Caenorhabditis elegans: one gene and its partners. The protein of the gene in region 4 purifies or fractionates together with the protein of the main gene of each other region. This does not show direct contact. Each region holds a gene or a part of one and is shown on either strand. Other genes may lie near its edges.

Region 1 (10,906 bases), on a different chromosome or scaffold from region 4:
TTTCAATAAAGTTTCGATTTTACTATTATTTTATTTTTCTCTTTATCCAAAAAAAAAAGAAAGAAAAAGACTAGAAACTTCGAGAAAAAAAACAGTGGAAAAGGGGCGGAGACAAACCCCGTGCGGCAGCTACGCTCCGCCCTACATTCTGTGCGACAGAATAATTTTTTTTTTTGCAAAATTCAAGAATCGATAACTATACTTTTAATAGTATTTTTTTTGCATATAAAATAAATTCATTTTCGAAAATCGAGATCCCGTAAATCGACACTACAGTAGTCATTTCGCCGCTACGAGATATTTTGCGCGTCAAACATGATGCACAATTTTGAATTTTGTGTTTCAGTAATAGAAAAATAGAAAAATAAAAACAAAAAACAAAAAAAAAAACAAAATAATCGATTACTAAAGCTTAATAGCAGCCGAATTCTTATCACTCTTCAATCTCTTCACAATCTTCTTCTTCTTCTTCGTCACCGCTCCATCCTTCTTCTCAGCAGCCACCGTCTCCTGAAGCTTCGCAAAGAAGTTCGAGCTCTTAATCTTATCCACCCCGCCGCCCTTCTCCTTCCCAGCCTTCCTCTCCTTCTTGGCCAGCTTCACCGCCTTCTGCTCTCCGAAAACTCGCTCCTCGCCAAACTTTTCCAGCATCGACCTCTGCTTAGCCTTCTTCTGCCGACGTTCTCGTGCCTTATCAGTCGCGTCTCTCTCATCCTTGCTCTTTTCAATCGCCTTCATCTTCTTCGAAATCTCCTCTGGAGCCATAAGCTGAGCCTCCGTTGAAGCTGTAATTCCGACTTCTTCCACACGTAGAGCAGCCATATTTGAGACCACTTTCACCTCCTCGCGAGCTTGATCCGGTTTATACTCGAAATGAGTTAGCGCATCAATTAGCCGGAAGAGATCTCCCATCTTCGATTTTATAGCTTCATGAGCTTCATTCGGCTTCGTGGCTCCTGCTGCTCCATCTGCAGAATTTCCAGTCGAATTTTGATATTCCTTCTCATAAACCTCAGCCAAGGAAGTTTTCTGATTCATTTGATTCTCGATGGCTTCAGTTTCGAATTTGGCGCCTTTCGCTTCGACTTTTTTCACTCGAATCACATCATCCCAGGCTTTATCACGAATTCGTTGCTTGATAAGTGACTCGAGGCGGTCTGGAAAAAAACTCTATTTTTGCCTATTTTATGGCTGAAATTAAAAAAAAAAAAAAAAAAACGGAATTTTTAAGCTAAAATCTCGAAAATTTCCAATTTTTCCATGTCATATCAGCTATTTTTTGCCTATTTTATATTTGAAATTTAGAAAAAAATAAAATTTTGCGCATCGCACAGAAAAAGAGGCAGTTTTCGTCTTAAAATTTGAAAAAAAAAACGGCATTTTTAAGCTAAAGCCTCGAAATTTGCGAAAAAAATACTATTTTTTGCATATTTTATGGTTGAAATTTTACGAGCAATCCGTCGTGAATCAGCATCGCACAGAAAAATAGGCGAAGCCCCTAATTTTGCAACCCTGCGGCACGGTTTTAATTTTTTTAAATCAATTTTTGAATTTAATTATGTTATTTTCTTTTTCGAATGAAAATGCTATTATGAGGATATTAAAATTAACACCGGTCAAAAAAGGAGGAAAAACCGTGCGGCAAGGTTGCGAAATTAGGCTCCGCCTCTTTTTCTGTGCGACGGTTTCAAATCTCAAATTTCGCCAATTTTTCCGTGTTACGGAGGCTCTCTTTGCCTATTTTATGGTTGAAATTTGGCGATTTCCATTCGTAAATTTTACAAAAAGCAGCATTGTCGCACAGAAAATAGGCGGAGCCTAATTTCGCAACCCTGTGGCACGGTTTTCATTTTTTAAATCAATTTTTGAATTTAATTGTTTTATTTTCGTTTTTCGAAAGAAAATAAAACAAGTAAAATCGAAACTTCATTGGAAAAAAACCAACAAAAAGAAAGAGGAAAAACCGTGCGGCAAGGTTGCGAAATTAGGCTCCGCCTCTTTTTCTGTGTTAATTTTAATACAATTTTAATAAATTTGTTTATAAAATTTTTGCAACTTTTCAAAAAACTAATTTCCTGCCGAAAAAATTGTTTTATTCAAAACTTTGAAAAGAAAAAAATCGTGATTTTTCAATTTTCGAACTCCCCGACCAATCAGCACCTTCAAACTCCGCCCACTCCATCTGATTGGGCCAAAAATGGGCGGAGCAAATCGCTGATTGGTCGCAGTTTCAAAAGTTGGATTTTTTCGATTTTTTTGATAAAAAATCGCAAAATGACAACTCCCCGACCAATCAGCACCTTCAAACTCCGCCCACTCCATCTGATTGGTCCAAAAATGGGCGGAGCTAATCGCTGATTGGTCGCAGTTTCAAAAGTTGGATTTTCCCGATTTTTTTTGATAAAAAATCGCAAAATGACAACTCCCCGACCAATCATCACCTTCAAACTCCGCCCACTCCATCTGATTGGTCCAAAAATGGGCTGAGCTAATCGCTGATTGGTCGCAGTTTCAAAAAGTGAGATTTTCCCGATTTTTTTCGCTTTTCCCATAGTTTTTCTTCTAAAATTTCCAATTTCCAGCCATCATCAGCGTACCTGTAAACTCTTCGGTAACCTCTGGAGCACGTTTTGCTCCATGATCAAAATCCACATGCTTCTCCAGCAGGGTATTCTGATCTCTCTGATCGGCGGCAACCTCTCCGGAGAGCTCCCACGATTTTGGAGCCAAATTCTCCTCCTCAAGCTTAGCGATTCGTTCCTTCATCTTGGACTGACGCTTGGCAAACGCCGATTCTTCCTTCGGCTCTTCGAGGTCGGCTCCGAGGAGCACTGGCTCATCCTCTGGGGGCTCTTCTTCATCATTAATGTCTTCTTGCTCCTCGTCTTCAACTTCTTCTTCTTCAGGTTCCTCATCCATTGCGAAACGAACGCGTTTTTTGTTCTTTCTGGAAGAACATTTTTGAATTGAATTTTTCGCTTTAAAAATTTATTAAAAAATAGTCCTAAATTCGGAAAAATCACAAAAAAGGCGATTTTTTAAATTTGGATTTTAAAATTTCAAATTCCCCCCAAAATGAAAACTCCCCGACCAATCAGCGCCTTCAAACTCCGCCCACACACCCTGATTGGTGCAAAAGTGGGCGGAGCAAATCGCTGATTGGTCGTAGTTTCAGAAAGTTGGATTTTTCCGAGTTTTGCGAAAAATTCGCAAAATTAGCATTTCGACCAATCAGCTCCTTCAAACTCCTCCCACACACCCTGATTGGTGCAAAAAAGGGCGGAACAAATCGCTGATTGGTCGCAGACGGAATTTGATCAAAATTGGAAAAATCACGTTTTTAAAAATCGATTTTTTCACTTTTGTTTGGATTCCCCCAAAATGAAAACTCCCCGGCCAATCAGTGTCGTCGAACTCCGCCCACTTCGTCTGATTGGTCCAGAGATGGGCGGAGCGAGTCGCTGATTGGTCGATGAGTTCTCATTTGGAGGGAATTCAAAACATCGCGTTTTGCAACTTTTTTCGCAATTTTTTCGGCGTTCCTAGAAAAAAGATTGAAAATTGGGATTTTTAAATTTTTTTCACTTATTTTCGGCAATTTTACAATTTTGTCATGTTGCACCATGTGCTTCCAACGATTTTCATTGAAAAATAGTGTCAAATTGTAGAAAATCACTAAATTTATCCGGAAAATTACATTTATTTCAGCTAGAAAATTCGAAAAATATTTTTTGATTTTTTCAGCTGAAATAAACGTGATTTTTCGGATAAATTTAGTGATTTTCTACATTTTTACAGTATTTTTGGAGAAAAACGAAAAAAAAAATCGCAAAATAATGAAAAATCCATCAATTTTGGCGAAAAAAAAGTGAAAAAAAAATTTCAAATTTCCAAAAATTTAGAAATTTCTAAATATTTTCGGAAATTGCTGAATTTCTACATTTTTTGAAAACTAAAAAACGCAGATTTTCAATATTTTGGCCGAATTTTTTTCAAAATGAGACCGCGACCAATCAGCGATTCGCTCCGCCCACTTTCCAACCAATCAGGTGGAGTGGGCGGAGTTGAAGACGCTGATTGGTTGGGGGATTTTCTCGTTTTTTTCTGTGGTTTTCCGTTTTTTTCTCCAATTCCTCCAAACTACAAACTACAAACCCATCATCAAGTGATAAATCAGCTTTATCTCCAGCCTTCCGTTTCTTATCTTTTTCAATTTTTTTCTTCTCTCCATTCATTTTTTCGGTTTCAGCAACTGTCTCACGAGATCCAAAAAAGTCCTCATACGTGTAGTCGGTTTTTCCGTCCCAGCTATCCTGAAATTATTATTTTTTTTTTTTTTTAATTGAAATTTTGAAAAAAACACACACACACACACATTTTCTTAGGGAATTTTCATCGAGATTAATATATTATGGCAGCGAGGCGGTTTTTGAAAACTGAGGTGCAATCGCGCTCCATCGCTAATTGGCCTATTGGGTCTCGTTTGGAACAAGAAAATATGAAGTTTCCAACAACAAAAAATTGTGCAAAACCACAATTTGCCGATTTGCCGGAACTTTTCAATTCTGGCAATTTGCCGATTTGCCCAAAATTTTCATTTTCGGCAAATTGGCGGAAATTTCACAATTCCGCCAATTTACCGGTTTGCCGGATATTTAACAATTCCGGCGATTTGTCGATATGCCGGAACTTTTCAATTCTGGCAATTTACGATTTACCGGACATTTTGCAATTCCGGCAATTTGCCGATTTGCTGGAAATTTCAATTCCGGCAATTTACCGGTTTGCCGGATATTTAACAATTCCGGCAATTTGACAATTTGCCGGAACTTTTCAATTCTGGCAATTTGCCGATTTGCCCAAAATTTTCATTTTCGGCAAATTGGCGGAAATTTCACAAATCAGGCAATATGCCGATTTGCTGGAAATTTTCAATTCCGGCAAGTTGCCAATTTGCCGGAAATTTTAAAATTCCGGCAATTTGTCGATTTGCTGGAAATTTCAATTCCGGCAATTTACCGGTTTGCCGGATATTTAACAATTCCGGCAACTTGACAATTTGCCGGAACTTTCCAATTCTGGCAATTTGCCGATTTGGCCAAAATTTTCATTTTCGGCAATTGCCAATTTGCTGGAAATTTCCAATTATGCCGATTTGCCGGAAATTATCGATTCCGGCAATTTGCCGATTTGCCGGAAATTATCGATTCCGGCAATTTACCAATTTGCCGAAAATTTAACAATTCCGGCAATACTTGTGTTGTGTTGGCGTTGGAGCGCGATTGCACTCTAATTTCGAAATTACGAATTCTGGCCGGGAAAAAGGGGGGCGGAGTTTGCAATTTCTTCGCGCACTTTTTGTGGAAAAAAGTGTGTATTTTTAAAATTGTTTTTGGGCACTTTTTGGCACTTTTCGGCTCATAAAAATCCAAATTTTGCAGATTTTCAGCCATCCAGGTACATACTTCATCCTCAAACATCATTTCCTCATCCTGAGCGGCCTTTTTGCCTCCAGCTCTCTCAGTTTTTTGCAAAAAATCGTGCATCTCGTCAAGATTGAAAAACTGATCGTCCACAATGGATTTCTTGAATTTTTTCGGTTGTTCTGTGGCTTTTTCCACCTCCTCTTTCTCTTCTCCGGCTTCTTCTTCTTCCATTTTCTTCAAATCAGCGTCCAACGTCTTCAGATCACTCTCGCTTAAATTAAAAAGATCGGCTTCATCCTCATCGTCAATCATTTCATCCTCGAGCTCTTCATCTTCCAGCTCTTCCTCATCATCATCGAGCTCCTCTTCGGAGCCGCCATCGGAGCCATCAGAACCATCTTCCGAACCTTCAGAATCCTGAATTTTCGCCGCCACCCGAATATGCGATTTTCCAATCAACTCGGAAAGAAATCCCTGAAATTCGGAGCATTTTCAAGCAATTTTGAGGAAAAAAAAAGTGAAAAAAAACTCCAAAAAATAGCCTGAAATTCAGAAAAAAAAACTCGATTTTTTTCAAAAATTTTCAAAAAAAGTTCAATATTTTTGGAAATTTAGAAATTTTTCGGAAATTGCTAAAAATTTCTAGATTTTTTGAAAATTGTGGAATTTTTAGAAATTTTTTAGGACATTTTTTTCGGGATTTTTAGAAATTTTTTTCAAAAATCCCGAAAATTTAGTTTGAAATTTAAAAACGCAATTTTTTTCAAACTTGTTTGAATTCCCTCCAAAATAAGAATTGCCCGACCAATCAGCGCCTTCAAACTCCGCCCACTTCATTTGATTGGTTCAAAAGTGGGCGGAGCGAATCGCTGATTGGTCGAAGACGGAATTTAACCAAAATTGAAAAATCACGTTTTAAAAATCGATTTTTTAAAATTTTGTTGAATTCCCTTTAAAATAAGGACTGCACGACCAATCAGCGTCTTTGAGCTCCGCCCACTTCATCTGATTGGTTCAAAAATGGACGGAGCGAATCGTTGATTGGTCGGAAACGGAATTTAACCAAAATTCGAAAAAAAAATCGATTTTTTTTCGTTTTTCCTCCGTTTTTTGTACTGAACAATCAGCACCTTCGAACTCCGCCCCTTTCCTCTTATTGGTTCAAAAGTGGGCGGTGCTAATCGCTGATTGGTCGTTCTTCATTTTGGAGGGAATTGGAGGGAATTTCGCCAAAATTGAAAAATAGAACTTTAAAAATCGATTTTTTCGATTTTCTTCTGTGTTTTTTCGGAATTTAAGATTATTTTAGGATTTTTCGAGCAAAATCCCGCGAATAAGCACCTTATATTTCTTATTAATTCCATCTAATTGCTTATTCTGATGCTTCAGATAACTCCAAACGACTTCTTCGTTTTTCGAAACAAATGGAAGTGGAAGATTGTCTTCTGAAGGTTCCAGTGATGTCGACCATTCGTAGACATTCGAAATAACATCGGTTATTTGGTCGGAAAATTTTGATCGACTGAAAAATCAACATTTTATTGATTTTTTAAATTTTTTTTCTATATTTTTTTCGATTAATTATGCCAACCTTTTGAAAAACTTTGTGAAATCCCCGATTTCCGGGATCAAATCCTCCTTTTTTGACTTTGATTTCGTCATTTTTGCAGCGAATTACCTTAAAAATCGATAAATTCCCAAAAAAAAGTTTTACAACTTAAAACCACATAAAATAACGTTAAAAACACGAGAAATCTCAATTTTTACACGAAAATACTGGAAAAATCGTCAAAATAAGTGTAAAAACCAAAAAATTGGTTCAAAATTTCACCGAGAAATGGGAAAACGAGACAGCGGGGGTAAGTGAGAGGGCGAGAGACGACAAGAGTGCCAGAGAGGGGAGAAAAACGAATAATCCCGTTCATATTTGTACTTAGGGCATGGAAAACCTATAAAAGTGTCGGAAAATTGTAGAAAAAAGTGGAAAAATCAGCAGTTTTAAGGTTTTTTGGATTTTTTCTATGTATTGACGGCTTGGCTCCGATTTGAGAGTATTATTTTGGGATTTTCACAGATTTTAGGATTCAATTTAAGTAATTTCAAATTTTTATTAATTTAATCTTGAAAAAATAGCCTTTATCCGCAAGATTTTCGATCAATAAATGTGAAAAAATGGATTAAAAAAGGCGAAAAAAGCCAGAAGTTGAAAAGTGCAAACGCGCCCTGTTGATAAAACAGACAGTATAAAAATAGCGGGAAGTTCAAATTGAAGAATTTCCTTTAAAATGTGAATTTTTCTGAGAAAATTTAGTTTTTAACACAAAATAAAGCGAAATTTTATGAAATTTGTGTTCCCAGCGACTGAAAATATACCGAAATTTAGGATTAAACATGTAATAAACGAGCAAAATTGCCGAAAATTTCCATTTTCGACAAATTGCCGATTTGCCGTTTGCGAAAGTTTTTAAAGAGACTTTTAAAAAGACGGATCCACTTAAAACAAATAATGTTGAAATTCTGAAATTTCCAAAAATGTCAAAACCACAATTTTCTGCAATTGTCGTTTTTTCGGCAAATCGGCAAAATGCAATTTTTAATTCCGGGCAATTTGCGATTTGCCCGAAATTTTAATTTTCGGCAATTGCCAATTTGCCGGAAATTTTCAATTCTGGCAATGTGCCGATTTGCCGGAAATTTTAATTTTCGGAAATTGCCAATTGGCTGGAAATTTTCAACTCCGCCAATTTACCGGAAATTTTCAATTCCGGCAATTTGGCGATTCGCCGATATGCCGGAAAATTTTCAATTCCGGCAGTTTGCCAATTTGGCGGAAATTTTCAATTCCGGCGATTTGCCGATTTGCCAATTTTCCGGAAATTTTCAATTCCGGCAATTTGGCGATTCACCGATATGCCGGAAAATTTTCAATTCCGGCAATTTGCCAATTTAGCGGAAATTTTCAATTGCGGCAATTTGCCGATTTGCCAATTTTCCGGAAATTTTCAATTCCGGCAATTTGCCGATTTGTCAACTTGCCCAAATTTTTCATTTTCAGCAATTGCCGATTTGATGGAAATTTTCAATCCTGGCAATTTGCCGATTTGCCCGAAATTTTCATTTCCGGCAATTGCTGATTTGGTGAAAATTTCTCCAACTCTTCCAAGCTTCAACTTTTTTTTGCAGGAACATTGTTCATCTTCCTTTTCATGTTCGTGTCTTATATTGTTCTGTCCAGAGAGAGAGAGAGTGTCAACACGAAACTGTGTGCCCTGTTTGTATGTCACTATCCACCATCCACTCTATGAAAAAGAAGAAGAAGAAGTCAGGAGTCAAATTACTTTTTCTTGTTTCTCATATCTCAATTCAATTGTCAATTGTCCTGTTGAATATGCTATTGTTATTTGACAAGAAAAACGTGGATATGGTCAAAAATTCACGGATGTGTCTGGCTTCCCTCAGAAATTGAAATGGAAGAGTTTTTGCCGAACTAGGCCAGGCCATATCTGGGGGTAGATTTACGGCGCGTTGCGTGTCGCGTCGCGGCTCGATTGTAAAACTAAATGCACTTGTCCGTGTGGAGTACACGACTTTCCCATGTCCGGAGAGCGATTGTCAATGGAGCGCGAAAAAAATTCAATGAGGACGGCACGGTAGCACAGAAACTAGATGGATTGGTTCATGATACTCAGTCTGAAAACTATATTGGCTGCTATCTCGAAAACTAACCCCAAATTTGATTTTGCGATGCATATGAAAAATGATCGCAAAAAAATTCTCGATCTTTTCTATTAAGAAATTTTTTGATTGAAAATTTCCTAACCGGTCAAATTTGGGTTCGTTCGGTAGAGCGCGTTTGCACTCATCTAGCTGTTGTACCAAGGCCAGAACACCATGAGCATACCGCAAGGATTCTTAATTTTGCAAAATTCATGCCGCTGCATACTAGCATAGTAGCACGTAGTACCAGACTGTCCCATTACGGCTTGATCTACAAAAAATGCGGGAATTTTTTGTTGCCCAAAAAATGTGGCGTCAACACGTTATTAACCATGTGAAATCAGTTGTGAACTCTGTGTATCAACTCCCGCATTTTTTGTAGATCTACGCGGATTAAACCGAAAATGAGACACTCTGACACCAAGCCGACTACCGGAGCAACCGCTGGCGGGCCCGCAGGCCCTCTAGTCTATCGTTAACTTAAATCCTAAATAATTTGGTCCCCAAAACTCGAAAACTCTTTCTCAGATATGATGGAAGGAATTAGAGTATGTGTGTGTGTGTGTGTGTGTGTATGGGACAGTGAAAGGAGAGGCAAAGTTTGCCCCCTATTGTTTCCTCAATATACACTGCCTATTTGCAAAAGGGGAGAGAGGGCCGGGGGGTTTTTGAGCACAGAGAGAGAGAGAGAGAGACGCAGTACTGGTGAGCACCGGAGCACGGTACGCGGGGTGCTCAACTGGTTCGCCGGATTTCTCGGACAGTCACGTGGATCCACGAAGGGTTCAGTCAAAGAGCACCTTGAAATTATGGTAATATTCAAATATATTCAGATTTTAAGGAAAAAACAAACCAAAAACCAGTGATTTTGGATAGAACAACTCTCACCACTACACCAACCACTTCCAGTGTTTACCCAATTGATTTACCCTTCTCAACGTTCTCAATATTTACAACAACTCACCTCAAAGACTGTACTTTTCCTCTTCTTCTCGATCCCTTACCTTCCATCCACTCCCCAATTTTCCCTTGACATCCCCCCTGACTATCTTCTTTTATGAGCAACCTTGAGAATTATGATTCATTGTGAGTAGGACCCCCCACGTACTATTATAACCCACTATTTTCTCAGAGAGACAGAGAGGAAGTGTACCTACTTTTTGGAACCAACCTGTCCATTTTAATGAGAAGTCGGTGTGGGTGACCCTGTGTTGTGCAGAAATTAATTTTAGGATCAATTGTTGTTACATATTATATTGAAGTATTAGATTGTAATAATAAAATATTTTGGAATTTTTTTTTGGAAGTCGTCGATGATTTAGATTTTTCGAAAAATGGAGCAAATTCACTAGTCAGTTTTCCCTATTTTTAGACTCGAAATTGAAAAATTACCACAATTTTTTTCACGTTATGTTATGATATTTAGTCGTTTTATCGTTTTATAAAGGGAAATCAAAATTCTATGAATGCGTATTGCGCATCATATTTGACGCGCAAAATATCTCGTAGCGAAAAGAAAACTACAGTAATTCTGTAAATGACTACTGTAGTCGATTTACGGGCTCAATTTTCAAAATAAAAATTAAATAATTTATCCATGAATAGAATATTAAAATTAAGCAAGCAATACAGTGCTTCAGATTTCTCGAAAAAAAAATTCCCGAAATTGCTCAACTTTAACGGCTTATAGTCTTAAATTTTACCAAAAAATGTTATACTGTGAAAATGTAGAGAAACATTTTGTACATATTTTGTCAGTTGGC
Region 2 (8,185 bases), 5.2 Mb from region 4:
AAAATTTTGTGCAAATTTCGAGAAAATCCAGAGAAAAATGTGGTTTCTTGATTTTTTTCAAACAATTTTTCGAAAATCTCCAAAAAATCGTGAAAAACTCGAGGAATTGAAGGGAAAACTAGCAACAAAAAATCACAAAAATTGAGAAAAAAATATAGAAATCAGCTGAGAACTGGGGAAAACTCGGGAAAAATCTAAATTTTTGGGGGAAAATCAGAAAATTTTGGGGAATAACTTGCTTTTTTCGAGAAAAATTTCAAAATTTCGTACAAAATCCCAGAAAATTCAGAAAAAAAAATGCGGTTTTTTGATTTTTTTTCAAATAATTTTCCGAAAATTTCCAAAAAATCGTAAAAAAATCGAGAGTAGAATTCGGCTGAAAACCGGCAAAACTCGGAAAAAATCGGAAAATTTTGGGGAAAAAACCAAAAAAATCGGTAAAAACCTGCTTTTTTTTGAGAAATAATTCAAAAATTTGTACAAAATCCCAGAAAAATTCTGAGAAAAATGCGGTTTTTGAATTTTTTTTTTTGCAAACAATTCAATTTTCCGAAAATTTTCAAAAAATCGTGAAAAAATCGAGAAATTGAGGGGAAAACTAGCGAAAAAAAATCACAAAAAATGAGAAAAAAAAGATAGAAATCGGCTGAAAACCGGCAAAACTCAAGAAAATAAAAATCTGAAAAAAGTCTCTAATCTCTTTATTATTTCCTAAACAACCGGGGTAATTTTTACACGAATTTTTAAAAATTTTTTTAAATTTTTTACAGCACACATTTTCAGCAGCAGCTTTTGCTCTTTTTAGCCATCATTGCAGCTCCAACTCTCGACCATTTATCATATCCGGCGGCTTCATTAAACCATTTTGCAGTTTCGACAACTTTGTCCAAATTGACACCAGTTTCAAAACCGTTTCCTTTCAAAAAATACAATAAATCTTCAGTTGCAAGATTTCCAGTTGCTCCTTTCGCATATGGGCAACCACCGAGCCCTGCGATACTTGAATCCGCACTTCGGATGCCTTTTTCGATGGAAATGAGCACATTTGCGAGAGCTTGACCGTATGTGTCGTGGAAATGAACTGCGAGTTTTTCGGCTGAAATGGTGGTGATTTTTTGAAATTTTTTTTTCTTTCGAAAATAATTTTTTTTCACAGTTTTCCCGACTTTTTTCGCCTGAAAATCAATCGATTTTTCATTGAAATAACTCAAAAAACGATAAAAATCTCAATTTTCGCTGCGAGACCCACAATCTGTGGGGAAATTGACCGAATATCATGATAAAAAAATTCAAAAAATTTTTTCTAGATTTTATAAGATTTTTTTTTGATAATTGAAAAAATCTCAGTTTTCCCCTAATTCCTATTTGAATTACCGCCAATCGGATTTGACCGATGGAGCGCGCTTGCATTATTGGAATTAATTAATTTTATTTATTCTCATTATTCGACTGAATTTCTTCATTTCTTCTGTTTTTTTTTGTTGGAAAATGAAAGAAATAAAAAAGACATATGCAAAATGTTTGTTAAAAAGTAACTGAAAATGCCTAAAACTGTATTTTTTTTGAATTCTGACGACGGCAAGCCTGAAATTAGTATATTTTACAGTTTTATAAATAAAAATATATTTTGTAAAACTGTGAAATATACTAATTTCAGGTTTGTCGTCGTCAGAATTCAAAAAAAATTACAGTTTAAGGCATTTTCAGTTATTTTTTAACAAAAATTTTGCATCTGTCTTTTTTATTTCTTTCATTTTCCAACAAAAAAAAAACAGAAAAGAAGAAAATCAGTCGAATAATGAGAATAAATAAAATTAATTGATTAAAATAATGCAAGCGCGCTCCATCGGTCAAATCCAATAGGCGAAAATTCAAATATAATTATGTAAAAACTGAGATTTTTCAATTTTCAAAAAAAAATCATATAGTCTAGAAAAAAATTTTGAATTTTTTTATCACGATATTCGGTCAATTTCTCCACAGATTGTGGGTCTCGCAACGAAAATTGAGATTTTTATCGTTTCGTGAGTTATTTGACTGAAATCGATTGGTTTTCATGCGAAAAAAGCCGGGAAAACTGCGGGAAACTACTTTTTTTGTAGTTTTTCACTCGAAAAATCGAAATTTTAATATAAAATATTTAAAAAAATCCGCTACCTGGCACACTTTTCAGCACCGTATCCAGCATTTTCGACACAGTTTTCACTGTTCCAACGCCAATAGTGTCGCCCAGCGAGACCTCATAACACCCAGATTCTAGAAGCTTCTCGGCGACTCTGGCCACCATTTCCGGCTGTACAGCTCCCTGATACGGGCATCCAACGACGACTGAAACGTAGCCACGTACTCGAATATTGTTCTCGAGGGCGATTTTTGTGACTTCCATGAGCTTTTTCAGACTATCTTCCACATTGGAATTCACATTTTTCAGTGAAAACGCGTCTGAAGCTGCTCCAAATACGGCAATCTCTTCGACGACTCCTGTTGCGAGCTGGAAACTTGAGAAATTTGCAATTTTAAAGGTGGAGTAGCGCTAGTGGGGAAATTGCTTTAAAACATGCCTATGGTACCACAATGACCGAATATCATGATTAAAAATTTTTAAAAAAATTTCAAAATTTTATATGATTTTTTGAAAATTGAAAAAATCTCAGTTTTTGCCTAATTCCTATTTGAATTTCCGCCAATTGGATTTGTTCGATGGAGCGCGCTTGCACGTTTTTAAATTTATTTATTTTATTTTTTGTTATTTTCCACCGATTTTTAATGTTTTCAGTGTATTTTTGCTCGAATTTTAGAGAAAAAGCCAAGATAAATTCAAATTTTCGATTAAAAAGCACGCTGACAGGCGTAAATCAGTGAAATTAATTAATTCAGGTTCGAAATCATTTAAAAGCGTTACTTTGTCATTTTTACGCCTGTCAGCGTGCTTTTTAATCGAAAATTTGCATTTATCTTGGCTTTTTCTCTAAAATTCGAGCAAAAATACACCGAAAACATTAAAAATTGGTGGAAAATAACAAAAATAAATAAATTTAAAAACGTGCAAGCGCGCTCCATCGAACAAATCCAATTGGCGGAAATTCAAATAGGAATTAGGCAAAAACTGAGATTTTTTCAATTTTCAAAAAATCATATAAAATTTAGAAAAATTTTTTGAATTTTTTTACTATGATATTCGGTCATCCCCACTAGCGCTACTCCACCTTTAAGCCCTAAAAAATCAATAAAATACCGCGTTTTTGAGGCCAGCGGCGTTTGGAACCAGAACCGGGTAGGAGACACCTTCAAATCTCCGATGTTTCTTGACAATTTCGTTGTGATCAGCCAACTGGGGCACCCATTTCGGTGAGACGAAGCTTGTCGTCTCTACCGTTTGAAATCCGCACTCTGAGAGCCGATCGATGAGCTCGACCTTGATTTCGGTGGGAACGAACTTCTTTTCGGCCTGAAATTAAGAAAATAATGGATTTTTTGCAATTATTTTGCAATTTTCCAGGATAAATTACCTGTAAACCGTCTCGCGCGCCAACTTCCACCACACGAAATCGATTTATTGCTGTGGAGTAGGCACGGTTGGCCAGTAGGCGATTGGGCAGCATTTTTTAGCGCGCCTAAAAATATAAAAATAAGGTTTTCTCCATAAACATTAAAATTCGAGCGGTAAAGCAGAAGAAAACATATGAATTGCTCCTAAAAACTGATGGAAACAATGAGAAACTAAAAGAAAAAAATTATTGAGATTTTTCGATATTTTCTGCGGTTTTTTACTGTAAAGTATCAATATTTATCGTTTAAACAATAAAAATCAATAAAAATCCAATAATTTCAGCTAAAAATCAAAGAAAAATCAAAGAAAAACATAAAAAATAGATAAAAAATAAATAATTTTTATTCGAATCCCAAAAGTCCGCAAACACCGCACACCACATTTGACGACAAATTGCACACATTTATTTATTTAATCATTTTTTATTTATTTTTCTCGATTTTTTCAGTTTTTTACTCGAAATTTATCAAAAATACATTAAATTTTCAGATGCTCCTTCGGAAAAGCATCCCCTACATCAAAATATGCCGAGATATAAGCGCTTCCGTCCGAAATAACAAGGAAATTGCGCAGAAACTCCCGCTCTCCGTGCCTCTGCCAATGGAAAACAACTCCAAATCAATAGAAAAAGGATGCCCGCCAATGGGAAGAAACTCGAGGGTTACTAGACTTCCGAACGGCCTGAAAGTTTGCACAGAAGACACTTACGGCGATTTTGTGACTGTTGGCGTCGCGATTGAGAGCGGCTGCCGCTATGAAAATGGTTTTCCGTTTGGAATTTCGAGAATTGTGGAGAAACTTGCTTATAATGTAGGCTTTTGATAGGAAAAATTATGGAAAATTGGAAAAATTAGAGAAAAATATGATGCAAATCGGGAAAAAATGACGAAATTTGAGTTTTCTCGGGCCAGTTTCGGATTAATTTTTACCCGTTCTCCAAAAACCAATAAAACTCAAAAAATACGTTAAAAAACAAACTTAAAACAGAAATTTGCAACAAAAATTTAAAAAAAAACAGGAATTTCTACTGAAAAAGCTAAATTTTCAAAAAAATAACTTTTTAAAAACTTGGTTGAGTACCAAAATCTGTGGAAATATTTTTAATTGACTCCAAATTTTCCCCTGATTCCGAATATCAATGTGAAAAAATTCAAAAAAATTTCCCTGATTTTATATTTAAGCTTGAAATCGCCGAATTTCATTTGTACCTCGGAAACACTTTTTTTAAATTCGCGCCCAAAAATATTCGCATTGGAGCGCGCTTTGATTGTCTTCATTTAAATAATTTATTTATTTTTCGCCGAGTTCAGTTTTTTTAAAAACCAGTTTCATTAATTTTTGTCGAAAAATATTTTTTCTTAGAAAAACCGATACAGATTCGACAAAAATTAATGAAACTGGTTTTTAAAAAAACTGAACTCGGCGAAAAATGAAGAAAATATTCAAATGAAGAAAATCAAAGCGCGCTCCATGCGAATATTTTTGGGCGCGAATTTAAAAAAGTGTTTTCGAAGTACAAATGAAATTCGGCGATTTCAAGCTTCAATATAAAATCAGGGGAATTTTTTTGAATTTTAATTTTTTTCACATAGATATTCGGAATCAGGGGAAAATTTGGAGTAAATTAAAAATATTTCCACAGATTTCGCTACTCAACCAAGTTTTTTAAAAGTTATTTTTTTGGAAAATTTAGTTTTTTCAGTAGAAATTCCTATTTTTTTCTAAAATTTTTGTTGCAAATTTCTGTTTTTGAAGTTTAATTTTTTGAAAAGAAAATTTTGAATTTCTACGCATTTTTTGGGTGTTTTTGTTTTTTGGAGAACGGGGGTAAAAATTAATCCAAAAATGACCCGAGAAAACTCAAGTTTTGTAATTTTTTCGAAAAAAAAACCCTACAGAGCCAAATTTGCCCCCACAAACCAAAAATTTCCAATAAAAAACTAATTTTTCACAAAAATAAATAAATATATATATATATATATCCATGAGAAAATATCTGAAAATACGGAAAAATTGAAATGTTTCAAAAAAAAACCCTTACAATTAAGAAATTCTTGAAACATATATAGTCGGGTTACTGTAGTAGTACAATAGTGGTACGGTAGGAGTACTGTAGGGTTACGGTAGTTTAGGAAAAATTCGTTATATACATAATATATATACATACTATATATCCAGTATACATAGTATATATCATATATATATAGTTTCAAGAATAACTTAAAGGTGGACTAACGGATAAAATTTTTTATGGCGGTTCAAAATTTCGAAAAAATTACACTGATTTTAGCTAAAATCTCGAATTTTGCCTATTTTTCGGTGTCACATCAGTCCGAAGTTGACTTTTTCGGAATTATCATCCTTTATTGCATATATTGGTAGTTTATCTCATTTAATTTTGTTGATTAAGGTACATTTAAAGCCGATAGGTGACCAAAAATCGTCGAAATTGGTTACCGATCGGCTTTAATTGTACCTTAATCAACAAAATTAAATGAGATAAACTACCAATATATGCAATAAAGGATGATAATTCCGAAAAAGTCAACTTCGGACCGATGTGACACCGAAAAATAGGCAAAATTCGAGATTTTAGCTAAAATCAGTGTAATTTTTTCGAAATTTTGAACCGCCATAAAAAATTTTTGAAAAATTTTTGAGCAGTTTCATCACGAAATTCGTTCATTTGAGAACATTTTGGGTCTATACGTTCAAAATCGTCCGAACCGTTAGTCCTCCTTTAATTGTAAGGTTTTTTTTAATTTTAAAAATTTCCAAAATAGTTTTTTTTTGAAACTCGAAAATTTGTTAAAACTAATTTTTCCCAAAAAAAATTGCAAAATTTCCAGTCATCGGAATCGTTCTCAAGCCGCGACGAAGTCTTTGCAAAACTCGAGGAAAACAGTGGAATTGTGGATTGTCAGAGTACACGTGACACAATGATGTACGCGGCGAGCTGCCATCGTGACGGAGTGGATTCTGTAATTCACGTACTATCCGACACTATTTGGAAGCCAATTTTTGACGAACAAAGTCTCGAACAGGCGAAACTAACAGTTTCCTACGAGAATCAAGATCTACCGAATCGAATTGAAGCCATCGAAATTCTCCTTACTGACTGGATTCATCAAGCGGCTTTTCAGAATAATACTATAGGATATCCGAAATTTGGCAACAATTCGATGGATAAAATTCGAGTTTCTGATGTTTATGGGTTTTTGAGCAGAGCTCATACTCCTCAAAGAATGGTTGTTGGAGGTAATTGTGTTGTACTTCACGAGGAGAGGTTTCGATTTTTTTTTGTTGAAAAATCGCAAAAAAAATGTACAAAAAAAACCGTTGAAAATTAGAGAAAATATGGAAAAATTGAGCTTTTTCAAAAAAAAAACCTTTTCGGAAAATTTTATAATTAAAAAATTCTTACAGTACCTTACAAGTACTGTAAAAACCTTAAAGTTACAGTACTTGACTTACAGTAATCCTACAGTACCCCGACCATATCCCTCCACTAACCAAAAAACAAAACCGCTTCAAAAGACAAAAAATCAACTTTTTCCAAAACTACAATAATCCTACAGTACTCCTACAGTACCCCCACCATATCCCTCCACTGAACCCAAGCCAAAATCCATTCAAAAGACGAAAAGTCTTTTTTTCCAAAACTACAGTAATTCTACAGTACCTTTACAGTACTACCACAGTACCCCGACCATATCCCTACACTGAACCGAAACCAATATCTCTTCAAAAGACAAAAAATCAATTTTTCCAAAGCTACTCCTACAGTACCTCTACGTTACCCCTACAGTACCCCGACCATATTCCCCGACTAACCGGAAAGCTATATCCCTCCAAAAGAGAAAAATCAATTTTTTCCAAAACTACAGTAATCCTACAGTACTCTTATAGTAGCTCTACAGTACCTCTACAGTACTACTACAGTACTACTACAGTACCCCGACCTTATCCCCCGACTAACCGGAAACCCATATCCCTCCAAAAGAGAAAAATCAATTTTTTTCCAAAACTACAGTAATCCTACAGTACTCTTATAGTAGCTCTACAGTACCCCTACAGTGCCCCGACGATATCCCTCTACCGAACCAAAAAACAAAACCGCTTCAGAAGACAAAAAATCTTCTTTTTTTTCCAAAACTACAGTAATCCTACAGTACTACTACAGTACCCCGACCTTATCCCCCGACCAACCGGAAACCCATATCCCTCCAAAAGAGAAAAATCAATTTTTTTTTCCAAAACTACAGTAATCCTACAGTACTCCTACAGTACCCCTACAGGTCCCCTACAGTACCCCTACAGTACCCCGACCATATCCCTACACCAACCAAAATACAAAACCTCTTCAGAAGACAAAAAACCATTTTTTTTTCCAAAACTACAGTAATCCTACAGTACCTCTACAGTACTACTACAGTACCCCGACCTTATCCCCCGACCAACCGGAAACCCATATCCCTCCAAAAGAGAAAAATCAATTTTTTTTTCCAAAACTACAGTAATCCTACAGTACTCCTACAGTACCCCTACAGGTCCCCTACAGTACCCCTACAGTACCCCGACCATATCCCTACACCAACCAAAATACAAAACCTCTTCAGAAGACAAAAAATCATT
Region 3 (6,239 bases), on a different chromosome or scaffold from region 4:
TTTAAACTGAGCCCAAACATGGAGCAATATGGAGCAAATGGAGAAAAAAATTTTCTCTAAACAAAATTTTTTTTCGAATTTTTCGAATTTTCAAAAATGTCTTAAACCACAAAAAATCAATTCGCTCGCTTCTAATAGAGGTAGATCAAAACTTTTGATTGGTTGATCTTTTCCCGGGTTACTGTAGCGCATGACCGGAAGCCTCTCGAAAAGCAACACAAAAACGCCGCCACGAAAAGGAGAGAAACAAACAGAAAATGGGCAGCAGCAAACTCTACCAGGTCCTCGTTTTTTGAGTGCAGGAATTTAAATATCCAGCAAATCGGCAAATTGCAGGAATTCAAATTTCCGGCTAATCGGTAAATTGCCGGAATTAAACATTTCTGGCAAATCGGCAAATTGCCGGAATTGAAATTTCCGGCAAATCGGCAAATTGCCAGAATTGAACCATTCCGGCAAATCGGCAAATTGCCGGAATTGAAATTTCCGGCAAATCGGCAAATTGCAAGAATTGAAAATTTCCGGCAAATCGGCAAATTGCCAGAATTGGACCATTCCGGCAAATCGGCAAATTGAAGGGACTGTAATTTCCGGGAAATCACTAAATTGCCGGAATTGAACATTTCCGGCAAATCGGCAAATTTCCGGAATAGAAAGTTTTCATCAAATCGACAAATCGGCAAATTGCCGAATTTTAAATTTTTGGCAAATCGGCAAATTGCAGGAATTGAAATTTCCGGCTAATCGGTAAATTGCCGGAATTTAACATTTCTGGCAAATTGGCAAACTGCCGGAATTGAACATTTCCGGCAAATCGGTAAATCGGCAAATTGCAGGAATTGAAAATTTCCGGCAAATCGGCAATTTTTCGAAAATCAAAATTTCCTGCAAATTGGCAATTTTTCGAAAATCAAAATTTCCTGCAAATCGATAAATTGCCGGAATTGAAATTTCTGGCAAATCGGCAAACCGGCAATTTTTTGCTAAATCCGGGGTACTGTACTTTTTTAGGAAATGGGTTACGGTATTTGATCCTAAAAGCATTGGTGGGATCGGCGTTACTGTAATACATATATAGGAGATGGAATATAGTAGCTGTAGAAGAACTTTTGATAGATTCGGGGACTACAGTAATCCTACAGTACCCTCCACTGAGCACCAAGCCAATACCTTTTCAAAAAACGAAAATTCATGTTTTTCAAAACTACAGTAATCCTACAGTACACGTGCATCGACAAGTCCAAAACCAAATCCAAATTAAATACTATACAGAATTCTTCAAAACAAAACATACAAAGTGAGGTCTAATTTCGATTTCGCCCCCCGTGAGGGCATATCATCTGCAAAACTATATCCAGTTTTACACTTTCTCTCTGAAAAGTAGAAGGTCTTTTTATTACAAAACAGCAGAAAAGTAGCTGTGGTCTATTCTCCTTGAAGGCATCCTTTGGTGACTTCTGACTTTACAACTCGCTAGGTTTCAGAGATATCGAAAAAAGTTAACCTACAAAGTTAAAGAACACATTATTACGTGTGTATTGTTAATTGGTAAATTTTTGGTAATGTCAAAGACAACCGAGATATACTGTCTTAAAGTTGGGACACAATTCTGCAAGTTTTTCAAAACTTTGGCAAGTTTCTAGAAATTTCTAGAACTTTCCAGAATTAATTTCTGAAGTTTTTGAAGCTTTTCAAATTTTTTCAGACTTTTCCAGAATTTTCTAGAATTCTTTAAAAATTTTCAAAATTTTCCCTATTTTTCTCGATTTTTTTAAAAAAGTTTCCACAAAGTTTCCAAAATGTTGGAATTCTAGAAAAAGGAAAACACTATATTTTCCCAGAATTACAGTACCACTACAGCGCTCCTACAGTATCTATACATCACCACTACAGTATTACTACAGTACCCCTATAGTACCCCTTCAACACTACCACAGTAACCCTACAATATTACTACAGTGTTATTACAATACGACTTTAGTACCTCTACAGTACTACTACAATACCCGGACCGTATCCCTCTACAAACCACAAACCAATACCCTTTCAAAAGACGAAAAGTCAATTTTTCTATAACTACAGTAATCCTACAGTACTCCTGTAGTACCTCTACAATACAGTACCCCTACGGTACCATTACAGTACCCCTATAGTTTCTCTACAATACTGCTACAGTACTCTGACCGTATCCCCCTACCAACCCTAAACCGATATCCCTTCAAAAAACAAAGACTCGTTTTTTCCAAAACTACAGTAATCCTACAGTACTCCTACAGTACCACTACGTACTCCCATAGTAATCCTACAATGCCCTACGGTACCGAACTGTACCACTACTGTACCCTAGCACTAACTTCCACTTACCCGAACCCAATTTCCCTTCAAAAATGAAAAACAGGATCTACAAAAATACAGTAATCCTACAGTACTTCTACGGTACCATTACAGTACTCCAATAGTACCTCTACAGTACTACTACAGTACCTTGACCGTATCCCTCTACCAACCCCAAACCAATGTCCCTTAAAAAAACAAAAACTCATTTTTTCCAATACTACAGTAATCCTACAGTACTCCTATAGTAATTTTTTCACCAAAAAAACTATAAATTTTGAAGGAAACCAGTACGAGAAATGGTCACCAAACTGGTTAGTCAAAGTATTTTAAGGCTGAGGAATGGGTTATATCAATCGTGTGCGTGTGTGTGTGTGTGTGTCAACTTAATCGAGAGTAGTAGCTGATTCTATATTTAGTTACTATGTGTACTTGGCCGGTACTATTTTTAGAGTACTAAGGGGGGAGTCGCGGTTTTTTTGCTTTTGTTCAAATGGTTTGTTTGTGTTTTGCGTCTGAATTGCCTACCGTTTAGACTAGCAGGTAGGCTCAGAAAATGACTGCCTGCCTACGCGCCTGCCTACGCGCCTGCCTGCCCACGCGCCTGCCTACCAAACTAGTTCAACTCCTCAAATTTTTATGGTAAAAAACGCAACGATTCTAGCAAAAACACACCAAAACTCGGGGAACCAATCAGCGACGCCTACTGCCTACCTCTGATCGCGCGGGAATTCAAATTTTTGAATGTAGCCTTTGAACTTTTTTCGCCCAAAATACCGACTTTCAACTTCCGGGTAAGCTCTCTATAAATGAAACTGTCTAAACCTACAATTTTATTGACAAGTGCGCACTATTTTTAGGGCTCGGCGAGCCACCACCTGGTCAGACTAAATATTTTTCATTTGGTTTGTTGATTTTTGTCGGGGTTCTCCTCGTTTTTTGTCCCCCATTCAAATGATACTTTAAAGAAACATTTGAAGACGCTTTTTTATGAGGGGACAGCTGCAACTGCAGTTGTGCGGCCGAGCGCGATTGCTACCTCATGTTGAAAAAAACTGCAAACTTCTAAAAAACTCTTTTTTCTTTTTTTAAACTAGTCTTATAATGGCCATATTTTCTCTGTGAATGTTAAATTTTTTGGCCAAATTTGCAAGCGCGCTCTATTGTACTTTAGAAATTCTGAGCTTGAAATACAATTAATATATAATTAACCAGCCGTGGACCGCACCTCCGGCGCGGCCCCCGACTTCTGGGGCTGAAAATTAATTTTTTATGAAACTACCGTAACCCTACAGTATTCCTACCGTACCACTATTGTACCACTACAGTAGCTCGACTATATCCCTACACTAACCCTAACTCACTATCCCTCCAGAAGCCAAAACTTCACAAACAAATAGATAAAGTATATATTGCACGAAAACGTATACAAACATTGAAAATCGGGGGAAAAATTTGTGAAGGAGACAGAGAACGCTCCGACTATTGCTTCTTGCTTCTCAGATTTAATGACATTGCTTTTTTGATTTCGCGGAAATAGCAAATAGTCCATTTTGTGCGGAGTTTGGTGCAATCATCGGGAATTCACATTTGAATCACCGCGCAAAACGAGAATTGCGTCAAGGGCACCGAGAATGCGCTAGCAGTCATCCTTGCGCTATCTTTGATTTTCGAAGTTTGAATTATTTTAATTTTAAAACTATTTTTTAATTTTTCTTTGGATTTCATATTCAATTTTCTAAATTTTCAGCAAAAATGAATGCGCCAGCTGCTTTCGAATCATTTTTGCTTCTCGACGACAAGAAATTCTACATTGAAAAAGACACAAAGGTGAGAAAAATGATACTCAAAACGAAATGATAAAATTAATTTTCCTAGGTTCCAAATGCGGCGATCTTCACAATCATGAAGGAGGATCACACGCTGGGAAATATGCTGAAAATGTTAGAAAACCCGCATAATTTCGAAGATTTTCGATTTAATTCCTCAAATTTCCAGCCAACTTCTCAAGGACCCAGAGGTGCTGTTCGCCGGCTACAAGAACCCTCACCCGTTGGAGCACAAGATCTTGCTCCGAATCCAGACAACCAACAATACGACGCCAGCTGATGCTCTCACAACGGCCATAACCGATTTGGTGGGAGAACTCTCGTTGCTCGAGCATCGAATCGACGCGGCCATCAAAAAGTGCACTCAATCCGGCGACCAGGAGCGTGGATATAACTGATTTTTCACTTTTTCCTTACTGATCTCTTACTCTGAACTTTTATAAATTTTAAATTACGCTTTTTTCGCTTTTTTCTGCGTTTTTTTTCTCGAATTTTCTGGGTTTTTGCCCATTTTTTATTTTTTGAAACACTAAAATTCCCCCAAAAGCGCCCCCATTTCCCTCAATTTCCCTCAGATGACCGCGCCACTAATCCGTGTGAGCCGGAAGCGAACCGCAGATCCCCACGATGCTCTGATTCTGCACACCAAACGTGCAAAACACGGCGGCAATCCGCTGGTTTTCACGCTTTACAAGGCCGCCGGCAACGATCTGGAGCTCAATGGAGCCCGTGTGCTGGATCTTCCAACTCAGGAACATGGGATGGAGTTGGCTGACGAGGAAAATCCACTAGGATTTGTGAAGGATGAAGCCGTCGGGCTCGTTGGAGAGGTCGAGAAGAACGTTAAAAAGCCGGCGGAGCAAGTTTCGGTGAGCGCTGAGCTCACGGAGCCCGTGGAGCGCGCAAAAATTGTATTTCCAGCTCAACGGCCGCCTACTACAGCCCGTCACCGACGGCGGCGGCGCCGCCGCCGGCAGCAGTGACGACGTCGTATACGACTACTACGCGATACACGAGAAACGGGGCAACCCAGAAGTAGTGGGAAACCTGGAGCAGGACATCGAGGGAGCCGATTTTCGGTTCGCCAAGCGTGATGAGCTGGATTTGGGCGACGAAGATGACTCCGATGGGCCGCCGGCTGATGATGAAGACGATTCGAATGATGAGGATAACTGGCGGAATGACTATCCCGATGAGGAATCCTATGATGAGGTTGGAGCTGCTGAATTCTGTGAATTTTCCATTGAAAATCTTCAAATCCCCAGATGAAAATGTTGATTTTCAGGACAGCGACAATGGGGATCCGTACGGAATATCGGAGCCCGACCATTGGCACGCCGGCGAGGAGGCATACTCCGACGAAAGCTTCCACAGACGGCTTCAAAAGTGTGTAAAATTGGATTATTGCGCTGAAATTACGGCTTAAAACCTGGAAATTGAGGCAATTTTCACAAAAATGCTTAAATTTTAGCTAAAAGTATTGAATTTAGCTATTTTTCCTCGTAAATTTCTGAAAAATCGGCTAAAAATTCTATTTTCCTTTTTTTTTTTTGCGAAAAACTCGAAAATTCCGGTTAAAATTGCTCATTTCTCTGGAAAAAAAAGCGGCTTTGATGTATTTTTCCATAATTTGTAGTTGAAACCTGAAAATTTAGCTGAAATTATCTATTTTTCACTGTAAATTTCTGGAAAATCGTCTCTAAAAATCCTATTTCTCCACTAAAATCGCTCATTTCTCTGGAAAAAATGCGGCTTTGATGTAGTTTTTCCATTAAAGTTCTCAAATTTCAGCTAAATGTAGTGAATTTGTGGTTGAAACCTGAAAATTTTTAGTTGAAATTAGCTATTTCTCCCTGTCAATTTCTTAAAAATCGGCTAAAAATTCAATTTTCCCACTAAAATAGCTCATTTCTCTGGAAATAATGCGGTTTTGATCTAGTTTTTCCATTAAATTGCGCAAATTTCAACTGATTTTGCCAATTTTGATGCTAAAAATTGAAAATTTACATGTGAAAGTTTGAAAATTCGGCCACAAAACCCCGGTTTTCCTCCAATTTTTTGAAAATTCCGACTAAA
Region 4 (6,232 bases):
GTGGATCGCAGAAAAAGATTAATGTAAGCTGTGGACTATTGAATATTTTTCGAATGTCCAATATCATCGGGAAACTAAAAAGTATTGAGTTAATTACAAATAATAAACCCAAGCTGTCGAATTTTGATAACGCTGAACATTTTTTCAAATATGCTGACTTTACACTGACAGTAAATTTGAGTCTTCTTTTTTTCAGTATGACTGGTCTTTTAATCTGGGTGATACTGCAATACAAATGAAAGTAACCGAAGGATCTAAACCAACAACCATTGTATTATGCCGCCGACACGTGTCTGCATTTAATGCAACTGGATCAGTTGTCTGGCAGATTCGTTTAGAAGCTGTTGGAATGGCAATGTGTCTTTATAGATCACTTCTGATTAGTAAGATTTCATATATTTTCAAACTTTTATTAATGTTTACTCTCAATCAGATAACACTCAATTCAATCGTTTAATAGTTTCAACATCTGACGATACATTGCTAATATTTCAAGATAATAAACTTGTATGGAACTGTAATGCTCAAATGTCACCAGTTGCACTATTAGTTTGCTCTTATAAGTTAGTTTTTGACATTTCTAGAATTAAAATAAGAATTTTAATATTTCAGCAAATCCTATGAGAATACCATTACAATGATGGCACCAGACGGTAAAGTTGTGGTTGGATATCTTGGAACCGAGCCAAATTTATATAGGGTGAGATTTTTTTTTGTATAGATGTGATATAGGGCCATTTATAATTTAAAATTATCAAGTATCAGGATAAATCATTTTTAGCTTTCGAAAATTATAGTTTTGGCAAAATGCCAAATTTTTGGAATATAAGAATCATACTTAAACTTTTTTTTTAATGTTTTACTTTCATTTTTGACTGTTTAAGAGTGGTCTTTAACAATTCTCACACTGGCGCTGCACAATCTTTTCTAATATGTATTCAGCTTTATCTTCGTTCAAATATTAATAGAATTAGACTTAAGATATAATATTCGAAATTAGTGTCAACTAGAAGTAATTTTAACAGATACAGTAGACCTATGGTAATTGAAACAAATCGGTCACTATTTTTATCGCAAAAAAATTACAGTTACCCGAGGACAAAGTGATAGTAAATTACGCGGAACGAATGGAAGAATATAAGAGAATGGAGCAAAAAATCAAGGAATCAGATGCAGCCGGTGGAGCTATCAAAAGAAAAGAAGGAATTCAAATGAAGCTGAGCATTGGAGAAATTGGTAAACGAACTGTAAGTTTGTTCATTGGAACATTATTCAAATATTAATTTAGATTGAGCCAAATGCTGCAAGCAATGCACCATACTGCAACCTTATTGTAGAATTCTCAGAAGTTCAAAATGTTTCTAAACTTCACATCAATATTCTATCGGAATGTGCTTCTCCATCCAAACAAGTAATTCTTAATGTGGGGACTTCAAGTAAGTTTTTATCATAAACTTTCGGTCTGGAACAAATTCGTTTATAACAATGTTCTACATTGAACTCTTGTTCCTAAGAACAAAAACAGTTATGGTAAATTTAAAAATTGAAAAAAAGTATTGGAAACGTTGATAGTGGAAAAATCTAAAAACATATAAAGTTGTAATTTTTGTTGCATAAATTTAATACTTTTCGAATCTACAGAAAGCGCAACTCAATTCAACATTTATTGAAAAAATTATTTTGTTCTGAAACTCTAATAATCCATTTACCTTTCAGAGTCCACTGCATCTATTGAAATTCCATTTTACGTCGGATCCAAAAAATCTCCAACTAGCAATAAAGTCACTATTGCAGCACATTGCGCATTCACCCAATGTAATTTCAGATTACTAACCGAATTAAAATAGTTCAATAACTTTATTTTTAGTAACAGTCACCAAATCAATCGATTTGCCATTCAAAGTATTGTTTGAGGAATCACAAATTGATAGAAATGCAAAATATAAAGTGACAATTGATACAGCTGGATCGGTTATGCCACTGAATAAATTATTTTCTGGTGAGCTATTTTTCCTTCATTCTGACAAAAGGCATAACTATTGTAATATAGAAAATTAATTAACATGTGCCAAGCAACTAACTTTTTTTGGAATACTTGTAGGACAAACGTTTTCAAAGTTATTTAAAATTTTTGAAGTGTTTATTAATGATATTAACGATGCTAGTATATAATGGACTATTATGAGTGATTTTCCAAAAATACCAGCGCTAACTAACGATAGTTTTGAGTGTTTAAGGTGCGATGTTTATAGAACTCAAATCTTAACAATGATTTTTAGAGTTCGAATCTGAAAATCCACAAGCAATTGGATTTTCTCTTCATGGCTCTGATAAGACAGTTTCAGTGTTTGCAGCCAACAAGTCAAGTAAGTTTCTTCCATTTCAATAAAGCATAGACAGGTATGCCTACGTACTTACCTTAAGCTTGCCTGCCCGAAGCCTATTTTATTAAATTTTTGGAATTTGGAATTTGTTCGATATTCCTTGTGCCCAGATGGAAAGCGTTAATTTGAAACTTCGAAGTACGAGGAGAATGAAATATTTCCAGATCGTTACCGTATTCAATCAGAACATATTTCATTATTACAAATAACATCAAGGGAATTGGTAAAACGAATTGCTGAATCAGCGCCGGGAATTGAAATTGGAGGAGTTATTCCATTTGAGTACATGAGAGAAACATTGGATGAAATTCAAGAGGTATTAAAGTTTTTTTAAGTAGAAGAAAAAATAATATCCTTCAAAAAATATTACAGCTTCAAACGAAGAAAAAGGAAGATTCAAAGAAAATTGACTGTCGAACAAAAGAAGTTCGAGCAATTGAAGCATTATCTTTGAATTCGTGTAAAACTGGAAATATGGGAAATTTGCCTTCTTTGGATGCACTGTTTGATAAATCATATAGAGAAGTAATGGAAATCGTGAATAATTTGAAATTAATTTATGGGAGTTTTGCAGCTTCTCGATGCAATGGATAGTTACAATAGTTTAACTGCAAAAATTGAAAATCAAAAGGCTTCATTGAGTAAGTAGTAAGTAGGTTGTTCTTAGTTGTCTCACGAGAACTTTTCAGACTCATTATTCCAATTGGCAGCAGATTTGTCAAAACTTTCAAAAGTGGATACTATTTTAAATGGATCTTTCTGGGCAAATACTCAACAGGTAACTTTTTTATATTTAGTTTAAGTTTAATAAAGAAACCGACAAAACTAACCAACAAATGTGCAGAGCTTATCCTGCTTAAAAATTATATAAACATTGTAAACTCAAAATAAATGATAAATGCCGAGAAAATCAAAAAAAGACTGTAACGAAAATAACTTTATTCAAAGAACGAGTATATTAAAGTCGATTAAAATTGTTACAAAGCAGAACCCAGAATGCCACAGTGGTATGGTGTAAACTCTTTTGAGCAATAGATGTCTAATCGCGCCGAGACCTGGTACCGTACTTTTTCGTCAAATCTTTTTTACAACTGTATAATAACTAATTTTTTATTAATTAAAGTCTCTACGAGATCGCCTTCGATGGGCTGTGAAAACAGATCGTGGAAATGAAATGACAATGATTGAGAAACTATGTGAACACTCGCCAAAGGAATTACCAAAAATTAGAGAAGAAGAGGAAGAGGAAGAGCAACAAGTGACAGCTTAATTAATTTAAAGAAGAACATATTTAAGTAATTTAATGAAGATTTCTATTTTTATAGTTTTTCTATTAAACATGAATTCATTTTCATGTCGACTTCAAGCTCTACATTTCGCTGCGAGACCCGCCTTTTTGAATGAAATTTCAAAAGCTTTTGTAAGTTTGTGAATATTTTTATACATTTTAGAATTCAATAACATCTGAAAATGTTTATTGATAACAACGAGAACAACAACAGCAACAAATCAAAATTTAAAAACAAACAAAAATTAATCCATGAGATCGAAATCGTCTCGAGTATTATTATAATCCATGACGTGTTTCTTGATTTTCGAAGCTTTCGTCCATGTGATCATATCTTCAGACGATCGTGTAACCATAAATGCTGGATCGGTAACCAGTTTCGTTCCGATTCGAACGTGTCCCTGCTCCACGAGATCTGACGCAGTTTTGACTGATTCACACATTCCAATATTTCTCATCACGACTGGAAGACGACGACGAGCGAATGATGCTCCAGTCACCTAAAAATGTTTTATTTTGTGTAATTAAAATCGAAACAGGACAAAAACCTTTCCAATTCTTTCCAACGTATCACTAGTGGGCACAAGTCCAGCTGCGTAAAATTTGGTGAGCATATCCTCTGTGCATTTTGATCGGAAGGGATCCGATTCTGATAGGTTTTTGATAAGATCAGCTACTTCACGACTCTGGAAAATTTTCAAGATTAGAAATATTTATTTTTATCCGATTTTTGAACTGTAACCTTTGCAGCCAAAGTGTTGTACAAAGCGTAGTGCTCTCTTTTTTTCACATAGAATCTAAAAAATAAATATAAAACTCCAGAGCTATTATCATTTACACCAACTTTCTGAGCATATCTCCTTGTTTTCCTTGCTGATCGACTTGCCATGACATAAAGTCAGTCTTTTTAAGCAGCTTTTGCTCATGGGTTTTCAGTTTTCGCACCATTTTGTCGGGGTTTTTTGTCTGAAAGTCATATATTCTAACAAATAAGAAAAAAACTAAACTTTGAAGACGCTTATTTGACTAAATGTAGAATTATAAAGACAAGAATTCAATAAAATTATTTCCGTTTGGGTGAATTTAACAAGTATTCGGCTTGTGAACCATTTAAACCTGATTGCAAAAAATATAAAAATCAGAAATTTCATAGCTTCATTACAATTGGGAGGATTAATGAGAAACAACACTAGAAAAGAGAATAATATTGCATTAATGAAGACAGGAAAAATCGGAAATGGCGGTTTATTTACAAAATGATCGACGGTTGAAATCTACACAGAGAATGAAACCCTGAAACTTGCTAGAACTTGTAATAAGAAACAATTTAAAATTTCGCGAAAAAGAGAAGATCACTCCGAGTAAAGTATTCAAAAGTTTGAAAATCAACTGGAAATTCGAGAATTAAAGAGTATTTTGGAGGAGAGGGGAAGCGAGAGAGAAGAGAAAACCAGTACAGAAGTAAAAAAATCTGAGTAAAATTGAATTTGGGGTCAAAATTTATTTCCTTATTTTTGAAAACGAAAGCATTTTCAGGTTAGATAATAGATTTCTACTTATGCATTAGTACCATGAGATTCAAAAGACCCGATGCTTTCGAAATTTCCAAAAACAAGTAATAATAGCAGTGATTAAAAGGGATTTTCAGTCATTTTTGAGTTTTTAAGACCGGTGTCAAAGGCAACGTTTTTCAGTTTTCTTCTACTAGAAAAGAAGGGAAATTCTAATAAAAGAGATTGGAAAGTGAGAATTATGAGGATTTTTGAGAGATTTAAAGACGTCGTTGACGTTTCATTTGTGACGTTGGAGATGTCGTTGAGTTATTTGGTGATCGCTGACGTTTTCGGTGGCGTTGAACCTTTAAAAAAATAAGTGTGAAGCAGGAATTTTTACTTTTTTTGTCGTTTTTTTTGTATGTATTTTTCAAAGTTATAGATAAAATATGCTCACCTGACTAGCGAGAAACTCGTCCAAAGTGTCTGTCGTCTGTTCTCTAGTTGTCGGTGGCAATAGGCTCAATGTGCTCAGCGGTGGGACTTGCGGCTGGTTCAGTGCCTGAAAAACAAAAAAATAAATGAGAACCTCAACATAAAACTTTTCTTCGATTTTTCAGGGGTTTAAACAATATGTTAGATTTCAAAGCAAAAAAAAATGCTAACCTGCTGAAAAAGTTCAACCGCCGCTAAGGTGTCGGATGAGATTCCGTTTTGAGTATTGACGGTAAGTCGTTCCTCTCGCGGAATTGCCATATTTCTGTATAATACTTCGAGAACTATGTTCATATCAATTTTGGATGGATCTCGAAATGCTTGTAATATTTCCTTGGCAATACTCGTACAACCCGATGAAAATCCCTTCTCAAATCCTCGACGATAACTGTCAGTAGATGTCTGAAATTAAATTCATTTAAATTTTCTATTCGATTTAGAATTTTTTATATTAATCGATTTTCATGAAATTAAACAATTTCCTTACTTTGTACAACTGCGTGGTTCCCTCTGCAGCGCCTCTGAAATTTCTCCAAGAGGAGTCCGAATAGAGACGAGCCACAGCTTGAGCA

The links.
Region 1: the proteins of C48B6.2 (region 4) and Y75B8A.7 fractionate together in Caenorhabditis elegans (co-fractionation; one large-scale study listed by BioGRID). This does not show direct contact.
Region 2: the proteins of C48B6.2 (region 4) and mppa-1 fractionate together in Caenorhabditis elegans (co-fractionation; one large-scale study listed by BioGRID). This does not show direct contact.
Region 3: the proteins of C48B6.2 (region 4) and rpb-11 fractionate together in Caenorhabditis elegans (co-fractionation; one large-scale study listed by BioGRID). This does not show direct contact.

Annotation. Positions count from the first base shown.
Region 1 is NC_003281.10:12,149,097-12,160,002, reverse strand, and holds the start of Y75B8A.7 (U3 small nucleolar ribonucleoprotein MPP10), read right to left. Parts: upstream 7,105-10,906; 5' UTR 7,089-7,104; coding exon 7,018-7,088; intron 6,949-7,017; coding exon 6,768-6,948; intron 5,901-6,767; coding exon 5,466-5,900; intron 4,314-5,465; coding exon 4,156-4,313; intron 2,948-4,155; coding exon 2,598-2,947; intron 1,158-2,597; coding exon 406-1,157; 3' UTR 1-405.
Region 2 is NC_003279.8:1,746,910-1,755,094, reverse strand, and holds the start of mppa-1 (Mitochondrial-processing peptidase subunit alpha), read left to right. Parts: upstream 1-4,039; coding exon 4,040-4,360; intron 4,361-6,399; coding exon 6,400-6,808; intron 6,809-8,185. Other genes in the region: Y71G12B.10 (hydroxymethylglutaryl-CoA lyase), read right to left, coding at 780-1,096, 2,158-2,491, 3,236-3,448, 3,510-3,602. UniProt on the Caenorhabditis elegans protein: Substrate recognition and binding subunit of the essential mitochondrial processing protease (MPP), which cleaves the mitochondrial sequence off newly imported precursors proteins.
Region 3 is NC_003280.10:14,056,001-14,062,239, forward strand, and holds rpb-11 (putative DNA-directed RNA polymerase II subunit RPB11), read left to right. Parts: upstream 1-4,084; 5' UTR 4,085-4,089; coding exon 4,090-4,164; intron 4,165-4,212; coding exon 4,213-4,277; intron 4,278-4,332; coding exon 4,333-4,561; 3' UTR 4,562-4,624; downstream 4,625-6,239. Other genes in the region: W01G7.4 (putative RNA polymerase II nuclear localization protein SLC7A6OS), read left to right, coding at 4,739-5,032, 5,085-5,375, 5,449-5,549. UniProt on the Caenorhabditis elegans protein: DNA-dependent RNA polymerase catalyzes the transcription of DNA into RNA using the four ribonucleoside triphosphates as substrates. Component of RNA polymerase II which synthesizes mRNA precursors and many functional non-coding RNAs.
Region 4 is NC_003279.8:6,915,172-6,921,403, reverse strand, and holds C48B6.2 (U3 small nucleolar ribonucleoprotein imp3), read right to left. Parts: upstream 4,639-6,232; 5' UTR 4,621-4,638; coding exon 4,517-4,620; intron 4,470-4,516; coding exon 4,415-4,469; intron 4,359-4,414; coding exon 4,221-4,358; intron 4,173-4,220; coding exon 3,918-4,172; 3' UTR 3,843-3,917; downstream 1-3,842. Other genes in the region: bbs-9 (Protein pthb1 homolog), read left to right, coding at 1-23, 197-383, 434-563, 613-700, 1,089-1,247, 1,289-1,436, 1,717-1,815, 1,868-1,999 and 6 more; haps-1 (Essential protein Yae1 N-terminal domain-containing protein), read right to left, coding at 5,444-5,530, 5,623-5,727, 5,832-6,062, 6,148-6,232. UniProt on the Caenorhabditis elegans protein: Component of the U3 small nucleolar ribonucleoprotein. Required for the early cleavages at sites A0, A1 and A2 during 18S ribosomal pre-RNA processing.